Arabidopsis thaliana: one gene and its partner. The protein of the gene in region 1 interacts with the protein of each later gene in a biochemical or structural test. Each region holds a gene or a part of one and is shown on either strand. Other genes may lie near its edges.

Region 1 (6,650 bases):
CATAAATTCCTTGGGTTTGTTGTTTTGCCTTCGTTATGGCATTCTTGACTCCAACAGATCCGAATGGTAAGTCCATTACAAATATTTTTCCCTTTTTATAAGTTAATGACAAAAACATTATATATATGATTGCATGTAACAATATTCAAAAATTGCAACAGCTCCAATGCTCTACAAGGGAGTTTACCATCTCTTCTACCAATACAATCCCAAAGGTGCGGTTTGGGGTAACATTGTGTGGGCTCACTCGGTTTCTAAGGACTTGATCAATTGGGAAGCCCTTGAACCAGCCATTTACCCATCCAAATGGTTCGACATCAACGGTACATGGTCCGGTTCAGCTACCCACGTACCGGGAAAAGGACCGGTTATCCTCTACACCGGTATCACCGAGAACCAGACTCAGATTCAAAACTACGCCATTCCACAAGATCTTTCCGACCCATACCTCAAGACATGGATAAAGCCAGACGATAACCCCATCGTAAAACCCGATAATGGCGAGAACGGATCCGCTTTCCGTGACCCGACCACGGCTTGGTTCAACAAAAAAGATGGGTATTGGAGAATGCTTGTTGGCTCAAAGAGAAAGAACAGAGGAATTGCTTATATGTACAAGAGCCGTGACTTCAAAAAATGGGTCAAAAGCAAACGTCCTATCCACTCAAGAAAGAAAACCGGTATGTGGGAATGTCCCGATTTCTTCCCGGTATCCGTAACCGACAAGAAAAACGGTTTGGACTTCAGCTACGACGGTCCAAACGCCAAGCATGTGTTGAAGGTTAGTTTGGACTTGACCAGATACGAGTACTACACTCTTGGAACGTATGACACCAAGAAGGATCGTTACAGGCCAGACGGTTACACTCCTGACGGTTGGGATGGTTTGAGATTTGATTATGGTAACTACTATGCGTCAAAGACATTCTTTGATGACAAGACGAACAGAAGAATTCTTTGGGGGTGGGCCAATGAATCCGACACCGTTCAAGATGATACCGTGAAGGGTTGGGCCGGAATTCAGCTTATCCCAAGAACAATCTTGCTTGACTCTAGCGGTAAGCAACTCGTGTTTTGGCCTATTGAAGAGATTGAGTCATTGAGAGGAAAGAATGTCCAAATGACCAACCAGAAAATGGAGATGGGCCAACGCTTTGAGGTCCAAGGAATCACTCCTGCTCAGGTGGATGTGGATGTGACATTCAACGTTGGAAATCTAGAGAAGGCCGAAAAGTTTGACGAAAGCTTCGCAACTAAACCACTAGAGTTATGTAACTTGAAAGGTTCGAATGTGAATGGTGGAGTTGGTCCTTTTGGTTTGATCACGTTGGCTACATCTGACTTAGAAGAATACACTCCTGTTTTCTTTAGAGTCTTCAAAGATGCCGCATCCAACAAGCCTAAGGTTCTCATGTGCTCTGACGCCAAGCCGTATGTTTTCCTAACTCACTAATTCAATTATTTATATATGATTTTTGTTAATTACAATTTGAGAGTGTCTAACATTAATCACAATAAATCAACAGTTCGAGTCTCAAAAAAGACACCGGGACTGACGCCAAGGAGAGGATGTACAAACCATCGTTTGCTGGTTTTGTGGATGTCGGTCTCCTTGACGGAAAGATCTCTCTAAGGAGTTTGGTACGTCACAAACTTAAATCATTTTACTGAATATTACTCTTGTATAGAGAAGCAAATAGGTAACATAATTGAGTGAATTTGCAGATTGATCACTCGGTTGTGGAGAGCTTTGGAGCAAAAGGAAAGACAGTGATAACATCTAGAGTGTATCCGACAAAAGCAGTAGGAGAAAAAGCTCATTTGTTTGTCTTTAACAACGGCTCACAACCTGTGACCGTAGAGAGCCTCAATGCATGGAACATGCAGAAGCCTCTGAAGATGAACCAAGGTGCAAAGTGATCACATCATTCTTTAATTTTTTCGTTGACAAATTTAATTCATTCGTTAAAACAGAGAGTCTGTCACAATATATTGTAGAAAAAAGGAACCTATTGTGTTTCTTTTACAATCAATACAATTTGTACATAGTTTATCACTACTAACAATGTATTGATCTTATATTTTATTAATGAAACACGTCTCCTAATCACATAAACGGTCATTATTTCACGATACTTGTATAGATTGGAATTAAGCAAGAATCTTCCGTAATCGATTCAGAATAATAGAAAACCAAATCCTTTTACTGACATTATCTTTTAACATAGAAAGTCACTGAAACAAGAAAAACAAACCCTATCAAAGGGAAGACAACAAAAAAAAGCAAGCAAGAGATGGGATTCTTGATAAGAGTCTCTCTACTTGATCTTCTTCTTAGGCCTCAACTGCAAATAAAAAAAGTTTGTTCAGATATCATTTCAGCTGATAAACACCAAAAAGAAACAAGTAACAAAAACAAACCTGGTTGCTGTGACCACACTTCTTCTTCCTGCAGTTGACAGCTCTTGGGTGAAGACGAGCATAGCACCTACCAAAAGATGCGAAATTTACATTAGAATAATCTCATTGAGACATCAGATCGGACCATAGATGACAAACTATCCAACAAACAAGATGTTTCAGCAATCAAAAATACAAGCTTCAACACATTTTCAAAACCATTTGCAAAAATGTACCATTCAAGAAAATCATCTGGAAAGATGAGAAATTTGACCAGCTGACAAAGTTTAGAGAATGGAAATGTTTGATATTGGGAACATTTATAACCTCAACACGCATTGTATAAGGCTTGAGAAGCTAAGTTAATTCCCATTAAAACAACTAAAACCCTAACACACTAATAAACATTTGGTACTTTGAACTATTAATCAACAAAACTACAATCTTAGGGAGAAATTGAAACTTACTTGCGGCAAATCATCTTATCCTGATTGTACTTACGAGCAAGCATCATCAAGGAAGGCTCAATAATACCTCCTCTAAGCCTCAACACAAGATGAAGTGTAGATTCTGTTTACAAATGATAACAATCCATTAGAGTTTATACAATCAGATCATCGAAATGATCAACAGAAGGATTCGGATGATTTCGTACCTTTCTGGATGTTGTAGTCAGCCAAAGTACGGCCATCTTCGAGCTGCTTTCCGGCGAAGATCAATCTCTGCTGATCCGGAGGGATTCCTTAAAGGAGAAACAAGTAAATGATAAGAGATCTGAATTTCAAAAAGCTAAAGAGAAGAATCCAGATTGAGTGAGGAAGAATGATACCTTCTTTGTCTTGGATCTTGGCCTTGACATTGTCGATGGTGTCGCTGCTCTCGACCTCGAGAGTGATGGTCTTGCCGGTCAAGGTTTTCACGAAGATCTGCATCTTTTGTGTTTCGTCTTCTCTCACGTAGAAACCCTAAACAAGGAGGAGGCGGGTTTATATATGTCAATGTACGCGTCTAGGGTTTTGCTAATATTGGGCTAGGTTACAGGCCTTTACCACAAAAGGCCCAGCCCACTTTCCAAATTTGCATTTCTACCTTATGCCTTGAGATTTGAGTGGGCTTTTAAGATAACATTTTAGATATCTCTCTCATTAAAAGACCACTTCTCGTTAGTCGAAGGTTTCATATGCACAAAACCTATGAGATTGTTGGATCTTGGTCAGGGTCTGATACATAGAGTAGCTATAACAAATCGTTTCTATCATTCCCAAGGTCCAAAGACACTACATGATTCTAAGATTTATTTGTCAAAAATTTCACCTTCTTGCTGATGATGAGGCGATTGACAAGAGCTAACCAAAAAACAGATCCAAACTTAGCTAAGTCTAAGATGGATATTATTAGATCCGGATAAACCGGAAGAAGGTCCGACAAAACGGAAAAGGAGATCCGATCTAAATCGGAAAACGAAATATGTTACAAAACAAAAAAAACAAAGATACATTCCGGTCAACCGGAAATCGAACTTTTTCTCTCTAAAAGATAAAGGTGAGATAAGAGAGAGAAAGTTTGTTTTCTAAAATTCTGTAGTCTATGTTCAATTTGTGAAATATCCCGGGATATTACAAAATTACAACCAAATAAAAATATTTTATCAACTCCAATCAAAGATTTGGCACCTAAGACTTTACAAAATCATACAGCACAAATTCAAGGTTTTTTTGTGAGATAAAATGACTACCAATTTTTGAATATCTTATGGTCATACAGAAAAAGATCCAAAGCTGTTCAGAGTTGAGACTATAACAAAGCATAGTAATTCCAAAACTCTTTTCAAACTAAGAAAAAACAAAATGAAACATTGAGAAAGCTACATAAGGAGATCCAACGAGAGGCCAAATAACTCAGAGCCTCCTTCCTCTTCTTCCACCCTTTCTGCGGGTACTGTCGGTTGGGATTGGAGTCACATCCTCTGAGGAAAACAAGAACAATGTCAGAGATTTATTCAATCAAAGATGCAATTAAACAATTACAGTTGAAGATTGCTGCTGTTTTACCAATGCGACCAATTTTCATGCCAGAACGGGCAAGGGCTCTTAGAGCAGACTGAGCACCAGGTCCAGGGGTCTTGGTCTTGTTACCACCAGTGGCACGGAGTTTCACATGTATGGCAGTGATTCCAAGTTCCTGTGTTGCATAAATATATTCACCAAATCGATTAAATATAGAAACATAAAAGATTATCAAGTTGTCTGCTTGGTAATGCAATTTCTTTGCCTTTACCTTGCATCGCTGAGCAACATCTTGTGCCGCAAGCATAGCAGCATAAGGTGAGGACTCATCTCTGTCGGCTTTCACCTTCATTCCACCTACAGAAGTAGGAAATCGAAACAGCAATTTTAGCAACCCATTGTTATTTAAGAACAATGCAATTTCCAAACAGATAAACAAAAGGAATTCCTCAAAAGTTAAACGAACAAAGACTAAAGACACTTCAGCTCACACCCTATAGAGAAGACCATAATACTAATAACAATGGTAACTAACTTAGTTCTATAAGCAGGAACATTGATGCCGTCAAGAACAAAGCAATTTCTATAAAGATATCAACGGATTCCTCGAAAAAACTTAAAAGAGCAGATACTAAGCAGAACCTTTAGGCAGTCAAGAACTTCATTTCACACTCAACAGAGACTACCGCATACAAGTTAACAAAGGGATCATCACCAAAGGATTAGAGAGTGAGAGTTGAAAGAGATGATTACCAGTGATGCGAACAAGTGTTTCCCGTCCAGACAAATCAGTCACGTGCTGCAATTGCAGATATAAGAAGTTCAGAAATGTACATAAAAATCTAACTTTGCTTGAAAAATAAAGAAGCCACTCACAATGAAAGTGTCGTTGAATGAAGCAAAGACGTGAACAACTCCAAAGACTTGCTCTCCTTCACGAACAGCTGGTCCAAGAGTCACATTCTCAACCTTTGGCTCTTTGGTCTTTCTCTTCGACTACAAAACCAAACAAAAACTAGCATTATGCATTTGCAATATCTAATAAAAACTTCTCAATTTGATAACTCAACGCTAGAGCCACACAAAAAAAATCCAATGTCTCAGAAAATTCATATGATCTCAGATCGAAATTCGAAGAATAAGGATTGCTTATTAAACATTTTCTCACTTCAGACCACCACACAATACCAGAAATGGATTTACAGATTATATATCTTCTTAATCACTAAATCCATGAAAATTAATTATAAGCTTTAGACAAACTTACCATGGTTTGGAACAGAGAGAGGTACAAAGGGAAGCTAGGGTTTCTTTTGTTGTTCCGCCTTTTACCTTTAGCTAGCGAAAGAGACGGATCAGAATTTGCTTTAATAGTCTGAATTTTTGTTAGGGTTAAAGTAGTGATTTTATGGATAATTTAATTGAGACCCAATATATATACAGACCCAACATATTACGGCCCATAAAAGTGAGCAAAAGTGCTAGTTTTTGAGCATCTTGGATTTTTAATCGTCTCTAGTCTTCTTACTGGTGTTGTGCCTCGTACTAACGTAGCAGTCATTGTCTTTCAAATCTTGTGTATAAAGTTATGAATGTGATAAGTTTATTGATGTTATTAGATCCTCCTAAACGTTTGTACATTGTTGAAAGGATATGCTAATGCAAAATTAGGAAACACAAACGGGAAAAACCGCGCATCGTCAAAATAGTTGCGATTGGATTTGCTATTTCTGCATATAGATACTGAACAGGAGTGAAATTGTAAGCAAAGACTAATGCCATTTTCGTAGCGCATCGTCTACTCGTGTGGGGAGAAGAAGTTGGGACTCACAATCTCTAGGAGTCCCTTTGGATTGTCTGTGTGTACCCAATGGCCAGAGTTACGAAGAAGATGAGTCGCAACCTTCCCTTCGGCTACATTCTGTCTCTGGTTAGCTATTGTTTCAAGCCGCTTGGTTGTATCGTTGTCCCATCGGTCACTCTTTTCTGCAATCACAAAATTTATCTCTGTCTCTTTTGGCGGGTTCTCTAGCAAAGACCAGTAAGAAGTCTCTCTGCAGTAGGAAAGTAAAAAGTCAAAATCTCGAGGAAGGTTCATAATATAATCATAGTCATTGGTTCTTAGGAAGGGAAATAAACCTGTAAGAGTTGAACATTTGGACAGCTCCGTCAAGGTTAAAGGTCCATGTCTCTGAGTCTCCAGATCTCTTGAGATTGCTGCCAATCCACTCGGATAATGATCTT
Region 2 (9,475 bases), on another chromosome or scaffold:
TTAAACCAGAGAAGTAACGAGCACCAAAAAAGGGAACAGTTTTAGATAAAGATATCAGATAGCAATGGAAGGAGGCTAAAAGCTAGTGTGTCGAACATAGAAAAACGAAGTATTTTAAAATTAATTCCATCAGATCTTTCCGCCACAAACGAGAGGACTTGCTGTAGCAATCTAAAAAAAGGGTTAGATGGTAAAACCATTTTGTCTAGGTAATTGGAAAATCACCAAGTTGTTAATACACATACAAATAGAAGAATAAGCATTCATTACCTTCTGATCGTTTCTGGATCTCCATATGTATTGATGGCAAAAGTGCAATAATGCAACCAGATATCCACTGAATATGTCACTCCCAGCACTGCTCTTTCATAAACCTCCACGACTTTGTCCATTGCCCCCACCCGAGCCTCATGATCGGCAAACTTTTTCCAATAGCCATAACACAGAGGAAATTCAGCTAAGAAAGCATCATAGACCTTCCGGATTTTTGCTATATTGTCCTGTAATCAGGGCAGCAAGGAAAACATTAACAATCTAGAGCAAATTAATCAAGTAGCTGACAGTAAAAGTTAGAAAAAATATACCGAAAGATGACAGCGACTTATGGTGTACAAATAAAAACGGAATACTCATTCTTAAGATTCAAATAGCAAACAAGTTTTGGAAACATAATCCAGATGACAAACATTTACGTCACCACGAAGGTCAGAGGACTCAGAGCAGAGTACATAGGGAAAACCGGAAAAATAAGATTCATTATGTAACTCCACACATACCTGCGCTATCCTCTCCGTCTCATCAATCAAGGCAGTCCAAGCATTAAACTCTAAAGAATTTGCCCTTACAATATTCCACAAGCGCTCCTCTTCCGTTGAGAGTGTAGAGCCTGTAACAAGAGAGAAGGAATAAGTAAAGGATTATCATCATCGAAGTTAAGATCAGGTTCTAGTGACGCCTCTTAGAATCAATATGTGCTCATACAAGCTTTCAAAAAGAAGAAGAAATTACCAGTATTGTCTCCATGCTCCGCTGCTGGAGCAGTCACAGCCACATTATCTGTTGCACTTCCGTTCTCAACTGGCGCAGTACCATTGACCAAAGAATCATTGTTGACCGAGTGTGATGCATCAACAATTGGTGCAGTCTCTTGCCCGGTCGATTCCACAGTAGCAGCAGAAGCATTATAGTCTCCATATGGAGCAGAAGTATAACCCTCGGAAACCATGGCCTCGCTGTCACCCATTACTTTCTAGAACAGACTTCTCAAACGCAGAAAACTACATTCACATAAGAACAGAATCAGTTTAAAGACACAGAAGACTGATACTAAACTCATCGAAGGATTTCATTAAATGCAAGCAAATAAGATTAGCGTAAAGCAAAATTCACTCTATCTTCCTATGAATCACAACCAGGAAAGCATGATACGAAGTTTCTACAATAGGACAAAAATCTAAACCACAACCGAAACAAAAGCAGAAACCCGACAAAAATGAGCTAATGTAAAACCCTAGTTTTGTTCCCAATTCGTAGAGACGAGAAAAGGATATGTACCTCGGGAACTAAAGAAGATGCTCGTCGCTTCTAGAACTCTTTACCAATCAGTGAATGCTATCTTCGAAAGTAGCTTCAATGTAAGAGAGCTCTCAGCTTTTGATTTTGGTGTGTTTCGTTTACACACGAAGAGAGGGGGGTATAGGGTTAGAGACGACGAACCAAAACGAAAGGCGACGCGTATCGTGTTGGTCGGCGCACACTGGAACTCAATCTGGCCCGTTAAGTAAATGGGTCATTAGATTTCTTAATGGGCCTACTGACCCGTACATTATTAAAGCCGAGGATCCCCTTTCAATTTTATTTTTCAAAGTGAAACCCTCGTCGTCGTCTCTAGTCTGAACTTTTTCAATCTCTCTCGATTTCATTCAATCAATGGCGCCTAAGAAAATCGGAGCCGGCAAAGGCGATTCGAGCATCTTGGCGAAGATTTCAAACTACGATATCGTTTCTCAGGGAAGACGCGCCGCTTGCGATGCCGTCTACGTGTCGAAGAAGCTGTTAAAGAGCACCGGGAAGGCGGCGTGGATCGCCGGTACGACGTTTCTCATCCTTGCCGTGCCTTTGATCTTAGAGTTGGAGCAAGATCATCGATTAGGCGAGATAGATTTTGAGCAGGCGAGTCTTCTCGGAACCCCACCGGTCGGTGCGATGCTCTAAAGTAACTTTAGAAACCCTAATCCGTCGATCATATCATAAATTTGATATTATCATGCTTGTTTCTGCTACTCGATTAGAAGCTGTTAGTTTCCTTCCTTGTGTAAGATTAGGTTTACTCATAAGGGATTTGATGAATTTCAATTGGCTATTTTGAAGATTGTGTTTGAGCAATCTTCTTCTAATTTATTTGGCAATTTATGATGTGGGCTGAGATTTTCTCCGTACAAGTGATTATTCTTTTAATCTCATAGCTGTGACTCACTTTGAGTGGAGCATCAATCTTCGAAATTTTATTTGGCAATCTGGTTAAGAATATAGGTAAGGATCTTTGGTAAACTTAGCTGTTTACACTTGTCTTAATTTCTCGTCAACATTTATGCCATTTAGTTCAAATTTTGATTTGATCATCACTCCTTTACATGGCAAGGCCTGTAAATAGACTGCCTAAACCTTGATGATGCTTCTTTTGTTCAGCAAATATCTTGTTAGCATCACTGCTCTTTTCGTGACAAAACCTTTGACTCCCACTTTTTCAGTTTTCAATGTGTATTTTGACTCTGTTTGCATGAAGGGTTTTGGTTTAGCTGACTTGCTGATTACTGAATCTCTTGATTTTATTCTTCCCCTATCGCCTTCACACTTGAACCAAAAGAACTATACAAAATTCTACTTTAAACCAAAAACTGAAATCATACTTGAATTCCCTGGGTTATTCAATTGTAGTAGAACAAAACGTTGTCTGTCCTGGACCCAATCGCTTAAAAGAAAAAACATATGTTGTGGGCCGTCCCATACTTGATGAAGCCCATATGATTTAAAGGAGTTAAACCAGTCAACTCGAAGGAGTAAAATCAGTCAATCATACTGACACTGCATAGAGAGAAAGAAAGGTTCACTTTTAGTTTGTCTTATTCGCCTCATACAGAAAAAGTCAATGACGACTCCCAAACGCTGCGTTTCTCAAATCTTTGAAGACTCTCCTTCGTGGAGAGTATACACTTTTCTTTCCTCACTTCGTCTTTTAAAGTTTCAAATTGTCGTCTTTCTTTGGACAGAGAGATACATTGATCAAAAATACGCTTTGCATAAGCAAATCTACCATCAGTTTTTCACTACATTCTCTTCTCTGAGGAAAGTCGAAAATCCGGTTCTCTCACTACAGAGTCTCACCCTCTTAAAACCCTAAATCAGTTTCAGAGTTGGTTCTTTTGCTTGTAAGTTCTTCTCATTTTTTCTGCTAAAGCTTCAATCTTTTCCGTTTCGAGACCTCTACTCGTTTTTTTTATTCTGGAAAATTGAAACGTTTTAGGGTTTTGGTACTTTGTTGTCCCTTCGGTTTTCCAAAAAAAAAAAAAAAAAAACAGAAAAAGTTCCAATTTTTTTGGTGGGTAATAAGTATTTGGTAATGGCTCTTCCTACATTTGTTTTTTTGTTTGCTTTCATCTCAAAATTCAGGGTCTTAGTCACATTAGTTTCGTTACACATCTAACTCTTTTACTCTCTTCTCTGGTTTCGCTCTTATTGGTGGGGCAGGAAGATGAAAGTTTCCACTTTTGTTACTTTGCTATGTTTATTTCTGAAGTTTTTTGAGGTTGGTGAGTGATTCAGCTTTGTTATTGCAGAAACTTGTTGAAAATGGCACCGAATCTTAGGATTAAGAAAGCCTGTGACGCGATGAAGCTTTTAGGAATATCAGAGACGAAAACAAGGGCCTTTCTCAGGAAACTTCTCAAGACCTATGAGAATAACTGGGATTTCATTGAAGAGGATGCTTATAAGGTCCTTCTTGATGCAATCTTCGACGAGGCTGATGCCCAGGTCTGTTTTTTCTGCTTAATCACTTTTTATTTTCTTTATTTGATTGTTTACATATTCTCACTTAGTCAGTTCTCTTTCTTTGATATGTCATATGGTAGTCCACTGAAAAAAATAAGAAGGAAGAGGAAAAGAAGAAGAAGGAAGAGGAAAAGAAGTCCAGAGTAAGTTAACTTTCTTTAATTTGATGACAATTTTCTGGTGTTTTTTGATGTTGTTTCTTCTCAAGGTTTTGATGATCTTTTTTTGTTTCTTTAGAGTGTAGCAACGAGCAGGGGAAGGAGGAAAGCTCCTGAGGTATACGACCTAAATATCTTTGTTGTTTTAGAATTTGTTATCATCATGAAACATTAACTTGTTTTTTTTTTTGGTTAAACCAAACTCAGCCTTTGGTACAAGATGAAGAGGACGATATGGATGAAGATGAATTTCCATTGAAAAGGAGGTTGCGCAGTAGACGTGGAAGAGCTTCATCTTCATCTTCATCTTCATCTTCCTATAACAACGAGGATCTCAAGGTATGTTTAGTATCTGTTTTTCGGGTTTCTTGGTCATATTATATAGCCTGTGTTTATTTTGTTTTCGGTGAAACAGACACAGCCTGAAGAGGAAGATGAAGATGATGGTGTGACTGAATTACCTCCGTTAAAGAGGTACGTACGCAGAAATGGTGAACGAGGGTTGGCAATGACTGTTTATAACAATGCAAGTCCTAGCTCCAGCAGTCGCTTGTCAATGGAGCCCGAAGAAGTACCACCAATGGTTCTATTGCCAGCTCATCCTATGGAAACGAAGGTTTCTGAAGCCAGTGCACTTGTTATCCTCAATGATGAACCCAATATCGATCATAAGCCTGTGATTTCAGGTATTGTTACATGAACTCAAGATAAAACTTAGTAATCTTTCTTTTATTGCTTTTTATGTGGTTGTGATGAGATGTTGAAACCTTTGCATTTTAACCTGATCTGTCTTTTGTGATGTTTCCTTCTGACACTTCTTTTCATTATTTAGATACAGGAAACTGTTCAGCTCCCATGCTTGAGATGGGGAAATCAAATATACATGTGCAAGAATGGGATTGGGAAACCAAAGATATTCTCAATGATACTACTGCCATGGATGTGTCTCCTTCTTCAGCTATTGGGGAATCAAGTGAGCATAAGGTTGCTGCTGCTTCAGTTGAATTAGCTTCTTCGACTTCTGGTGAGGCAAAGATTTGTCTAAGTTTCGCGCCTGCAACTGGAGAAACAACGAATTTGCATTTGCCTTCTATGGAGGATCTTCGGAGAGCAATGGAGGAGAAGTGCCTCAAGTCGTACAAAATTGTTCACCCCGAGTTTTCGGTCCTTGGGTTCATGAAGGACATGTGTAGCTGTTACATAGACTTGGCAAAGAATTCAACCAGCCAGTTGCTTGAAACAGAAACCGTATGTGACATGAGTAAGGCGGGTGATGAAAGTGGTGCAGTTGGCATTTCGATGCCGTTGGTGGTTGTTCCTGAATGCGAGATCTCGGGAGATGGCTGGAAAGCAATTAGCAACATGAAGGACATTACGGCTGGTGAAGAAAACGTTGAGATTCCATGGGTGAATGAGATCAACGAGAAGGTTCCTTCCCGTTTCCGTTACATGCCTCACAGCTTTGTGTTTCAAGATGCTCCAGTGATATTCTCGCTCTCAAGTTTCTCTGATGAGCAAAGCTGCTCCACTTCTTGTATCGAAGACTGCCTGGCTTCAGAAATGTCGTGCAATTGTGCAATTGGTGTTGATAACGGGTTTGCGTACACATTAGATGGGTTACTCAAAGAAGAATTCTTGGAAGCTCGGATCTCTGAGGCTCGTGATCAACGGAAACAGGTGCTGCGATTCTGTGAAGAGTGCCCATTGGAGAGAGCTAAAAAGGTTGAGATTTTGGAACCATGTAAAGGGCATCTAAAGAGGGGAGCCATTAAAGAGTGTTGGTTCAAATGTGGTTGCACTAAGAGATGCGGTAACCGAGTGGTGCAAAGAGGAATGCACAACAAATTACAGGTAAAACATTCACCTTAACTAACAATCTTTTACGTGTTTTTCTTTCATCTTGTTATATAAATCAATTAGTTTCCATTTTTGATCAGTCATCTTTTTTTCTTAATATCAGGTGTTTTTCACGCCAAATGGGAAAGGCTGGGGACTTAGGACTTTAGAGAAACTGCCTAAAGGGGCATTTATTTGTGAGTACATTGGAGAGATATTGACAATTCCGGAGTTATACCAACGTAGCTTTGAAGATAAACCCACTTTGCCTGTGATATTGGATGCACATTGGGGTTCTGAAGAAAGGTTAGAGGGTGACAAAGCTCTGTGTCTTGATGGGATGTTTTATGGAAATATCTCAAGGTTCCTTAACCACAGGTAATGGCTTCCCCTAAAACTCAGAACACCAATGGTGTTTCTCTCTATTTTAAACTGATGTTTCTTTCTGTCCTTTGATGTATGTAGATGTCTTGATGCAAACTTGATCGAGATTCCAGTTCAAGTCGAGACTCCGGATCAGCATTATTATCATGTAATGATACAATGACGGTCTCATATATAATCTTTTGCTCATATGTTTCTTCTGTTTTGGGGAAATTGTTTAAACTGTAATCTTTTCCAGCTTGCATTCTTCACAACAAGAGACATCGAGGCAATGGAGGAACTCGCATGGGTGTGTATAATTTCGCATATCCATTTTATATTAGGCTGAGAAGTTTCTATACCGATGAAAATGATTGTATATTCCTAATGCTTACTGATATCTTGATATACATTGATCTGATGTAACCCTTTCACATTCTCAGGATTATGGCATTGACTTCAACGATAATGACTCTCTAATGAAACCCTTTGATTGTCTGTGTGGTAGCAGATTCTGCAGGAACAAGAAGCGATCAACGAGTGAGTAATATCATCAGAGTTTGTTGATTCTGTTACATGGGACTGAGTAATATCAATCCTGCATCTCACTGACTGAATTTTTTTTACCTTTGTTATGTTCCAGAGACCATGCAGATTTTGAACAAAGCATGAGAGGCTAGTGAAGAAGAAAAGACGTGATGAGACCCTCTGTTTTTTGGTGAATGGGACTCTCCAAACCGGTCCGGGTTAATAGATTTTGTAGGTTGGGAAAAAAAGAAGCTTAAGTTGGGTATTGTGTGATCAAACTCTGTATAGCTCGAGGGTCCAGTGCCTTTTGTTTTAATTTAGAAGTTTGACCATCTTTAATTCTAAATCTCTCTAAACCACGTTCTTTTTTGTAGTAAACCATAAATTTCCGCACTGTTGAGGGCCAACGGATCCCTGATCGTAAGACTAGGAGTCTAGGATGGACAAGTTTTTACTTCTTACTTTTATCACTCAGTTTATGGAGATGGAAAGTATGATTGTATTGTCTTTGTGCATATGGTGTGTTCATCTAAAACAAGTGAAAAAAGCTAAAAAATTGCCGTTGAACAACTCTCTCACTATATATATAATCTATTTATGTATGAAATTTAATCAAAACGTGATTAACAAATTATAAACAAACAACTCTTGTCATGTTATGATCGGTGTTACTTAATTGACCATTCTACTTTTTGAATGTTATAATTGTTTGCTTAAGAAAGTAAGCTTTTACGAAAGTGGTATCCTAATGTATAACACGTATTATCTAAAAGATCAAAATAACGGGAAAAATGAGATTCTCATCGTTAACATTTTACGATTATTTTGACAAAATATGGCCAAAAGTTGTAGTAAATGTTTAACTTATTCAATTTTAAGCTGAATTGGCAGTTGAAAATAATAAGCATTTAATTGTAGTCCAACTGTGCATGATCGGTCGTATACGTGCTTTGCTGGAAAACCGAGTGTTTCTAATGACTTAATATCTATACTCTACTTATATTCAATTAAGAGATCCAAATTAATTTTCACAAATGCAGCATAGAAGAAAAAAAGAGTTTAGGATTAAAAATATATATGTGAAAATTTTTAAAAACAGTTATGAGTTGTTTTTTTTTTGTTTTGGTTAAAAATAGGTTTGAGTTGTTCATGAGCGTCATGTTTTACTTTTACCATTTCTATATGTATTTTCGTGTATATATTTAACAATATTTAAATTTTGTCGACATCTATCCTTGCCTTGCTAGCTAGCAAACCAACAAATCAATTTATTCAACGGTTTTATTTATTAAAATTAAAATCCATGTGCTGCCATTCCAACTCTTCAATCAATTTTGTCACCATAACCTTACCACCTCCTCTCTAGCTAGATCTATCTATCTTGTCCTTTCCATTTCATAATGCTAACAAGTTCTAAAAGAACTTTTGGTGTAATTTACTTTAGATTTTTGACTCGAAACTGCTATTTTCTTATATATGAATATTGTTCTTGTGATCCCATTTGATTTTTGGTGTCGATAGAGTCTACGTATATAACAATGTCTACTTTGAACATCATTTGGAAAAAAAACAAAAACAATTAGTTTGATCGTTTGATTTGAACTGTTAATAAAAGTAAGTTAAATAGCTGTTTGATTTTGATTGCATCAATTATTGGAACTACAATTATTTCACACTATCATCCAACTTGCTTCATGATGTATCCATTTCAAATCCTAAAAATTAATTTCCAACTTCATTTGTTAATTGCAATGTGTATACTATTTGTGCCGATAGTCAAATACATGATACATCTACAATTCTACATACATTATGTAATTATACACTTTGGCAAATATATCGCCACTAATCGAGGAAAACAATTGCTCATACCATCATACTTTTTTTATTTTTTTTGATAAGTTCATACAATCATACTTCTTGGCAAGTTGGCAGTTAATTATCTTTAATTTATCCAAATCTTTTAGTTTCACCCGCATATTAAGTTAAACTTTCATAATTTTGCCTCCCATAAAATGTTGGAAAGCTAGATCATATCGTGCATGAATGTATAGTAAACAACTATATATATTTTTAAAAATACTATAATGTATAATTACAACCAAATTATTATTTTATTTATGAAAAAAATAATGAAACACCAAAAACTTTGATTCAGATTTGTGTATTAATTATTTTTCTTTATTGTTAGGGCTGCCAGTTTGACTCTTCTACTTATAAAAGCCTCTTTACACACAAACACATACACACTTGTGATCAAAATCTCAAGATCCAAAACTCTTCTTTCAAACATGGACCGAACCATGTTTCTTTCCCTGACAATAGCCTCACTCTTGGTCGGAGTCGTCTCAGCTGGTGACTGGAACATCTTGAACCAACTCAGAGGACTCGGCTCATCGTCAAGCCAAAATGGTATCGTTTCTAAAGGTATCAAGACGGACCTGAAAGGATACTGTGAAAGCTGGAGGATCAACGTGGAAGTTCACAACATCAGAAAGTTCGATGTGGTGCCTCAAGAGTGTGTATCGCACATTAAGGAT

Evidence for each region. Proteins that work in one complex are often made in the same cells at the same time.
Region 2: the proteins of UBQ1 (region 1) and SUVR1 form a complex in vitro, tested with the Arabidopsis thaliana proteins (one study listed by BioGRID).

The regions. Positions count from the first base shown.
Region 1 is NC_003074.8:19,502,350-19,508,999, reverse strand, and holds UBQ1 (ubiquitin extension protein 1), read right to left. Parts: upstream 3,622-6,650; 5' UTR 3,333-3,621; coding exon 3,230-3,332; intron 3,143-3,229; coding exon 3,056-3,142; intron 2,971-3,055; coding exon 2,868-2,970; intron 2,671-2,867; exon of another isoform or gene 2,629-2,670; intron 2,489-2,628; coding exon 2,422-2,488; intron 2,346-2,421; coding exon 2,319-2,345; 3' UTR 2,068-2,318; downstream 1-2,067. Other genes in the region: CWINV2 (cell wall invertase 2), read left to right, coding at 58-66, 162-1,431, 1,527-1,641, 1,726-1,920; AT3G52580 (Ribosomal protein S11 family protein), read right to left, coding at 4,299-4,366, 4,452-4,581, 4,678-4,763, 5,160-5,205, 5,283-5,402, 5,674-5,676; AT3G52570 (alpha/beta-Hydrolases superfamily protein), read right to left, coding at 6,205-6,460, 6,546-6,650.
Region 2 is NC_003070.9:1,043,571-1,053,045, reverse strand, and holds SUVR1 (histone-lysine N-methyltransferase SUVR2-like protein), read left to right. Parts: upstream 1-3,181; 5' UTR 3,182-3,428; intron 3,429-3,568; exon of another isoform or gene 3,569-3,836; 5' UTR 3,837-3,849; coding exon 3,850-4,032; intron 4,033-4,066; exon of another isoform or gene 4,067-4,130; coding exon 4,131-4,193; intron 4,194-4,287; coding exon 4,288-4,326; intron 4,327-4,415; coding exon 4,416-4,547; intron 4,548-4,623; coding exon 4,624-4,894; intron 4,895-5,040; coding exon 5,041-6,059; intron 6,060-6,168; coding exon 6,169-6,422; intron 6,423-6,509; coding exon 6,510-6,576; intron 6,577-6,666; coding exon 6,667-6,717; intron 6,718-6,850; coding exon 6,851-6,947; intron 6,948-7,050; coding exon 7,051-7,079; 3' UTR 7,080-7,448; downstream 7,449-9,475. Other genes in the region: PRP39 (Tetratricopeptide repeat (TPR)-like superfamily protein), read right to left, coding at 271-500, 777-886, 1,009-1,243; TOM22-I (translocase of outer membrane 22-I), read left to right, coding at 1,930-2,214; AT1G04040 (HAD superfamily, subfamily IIIB acid phosphatase), read left to right, coding at 9,227-9,475. UniProt on the Arabidopsis thaliana protein: Probable inactive histone-lysine methyltransferase that acts as regulator of transctiptional gene silencing independently of histone H3K9 methylation.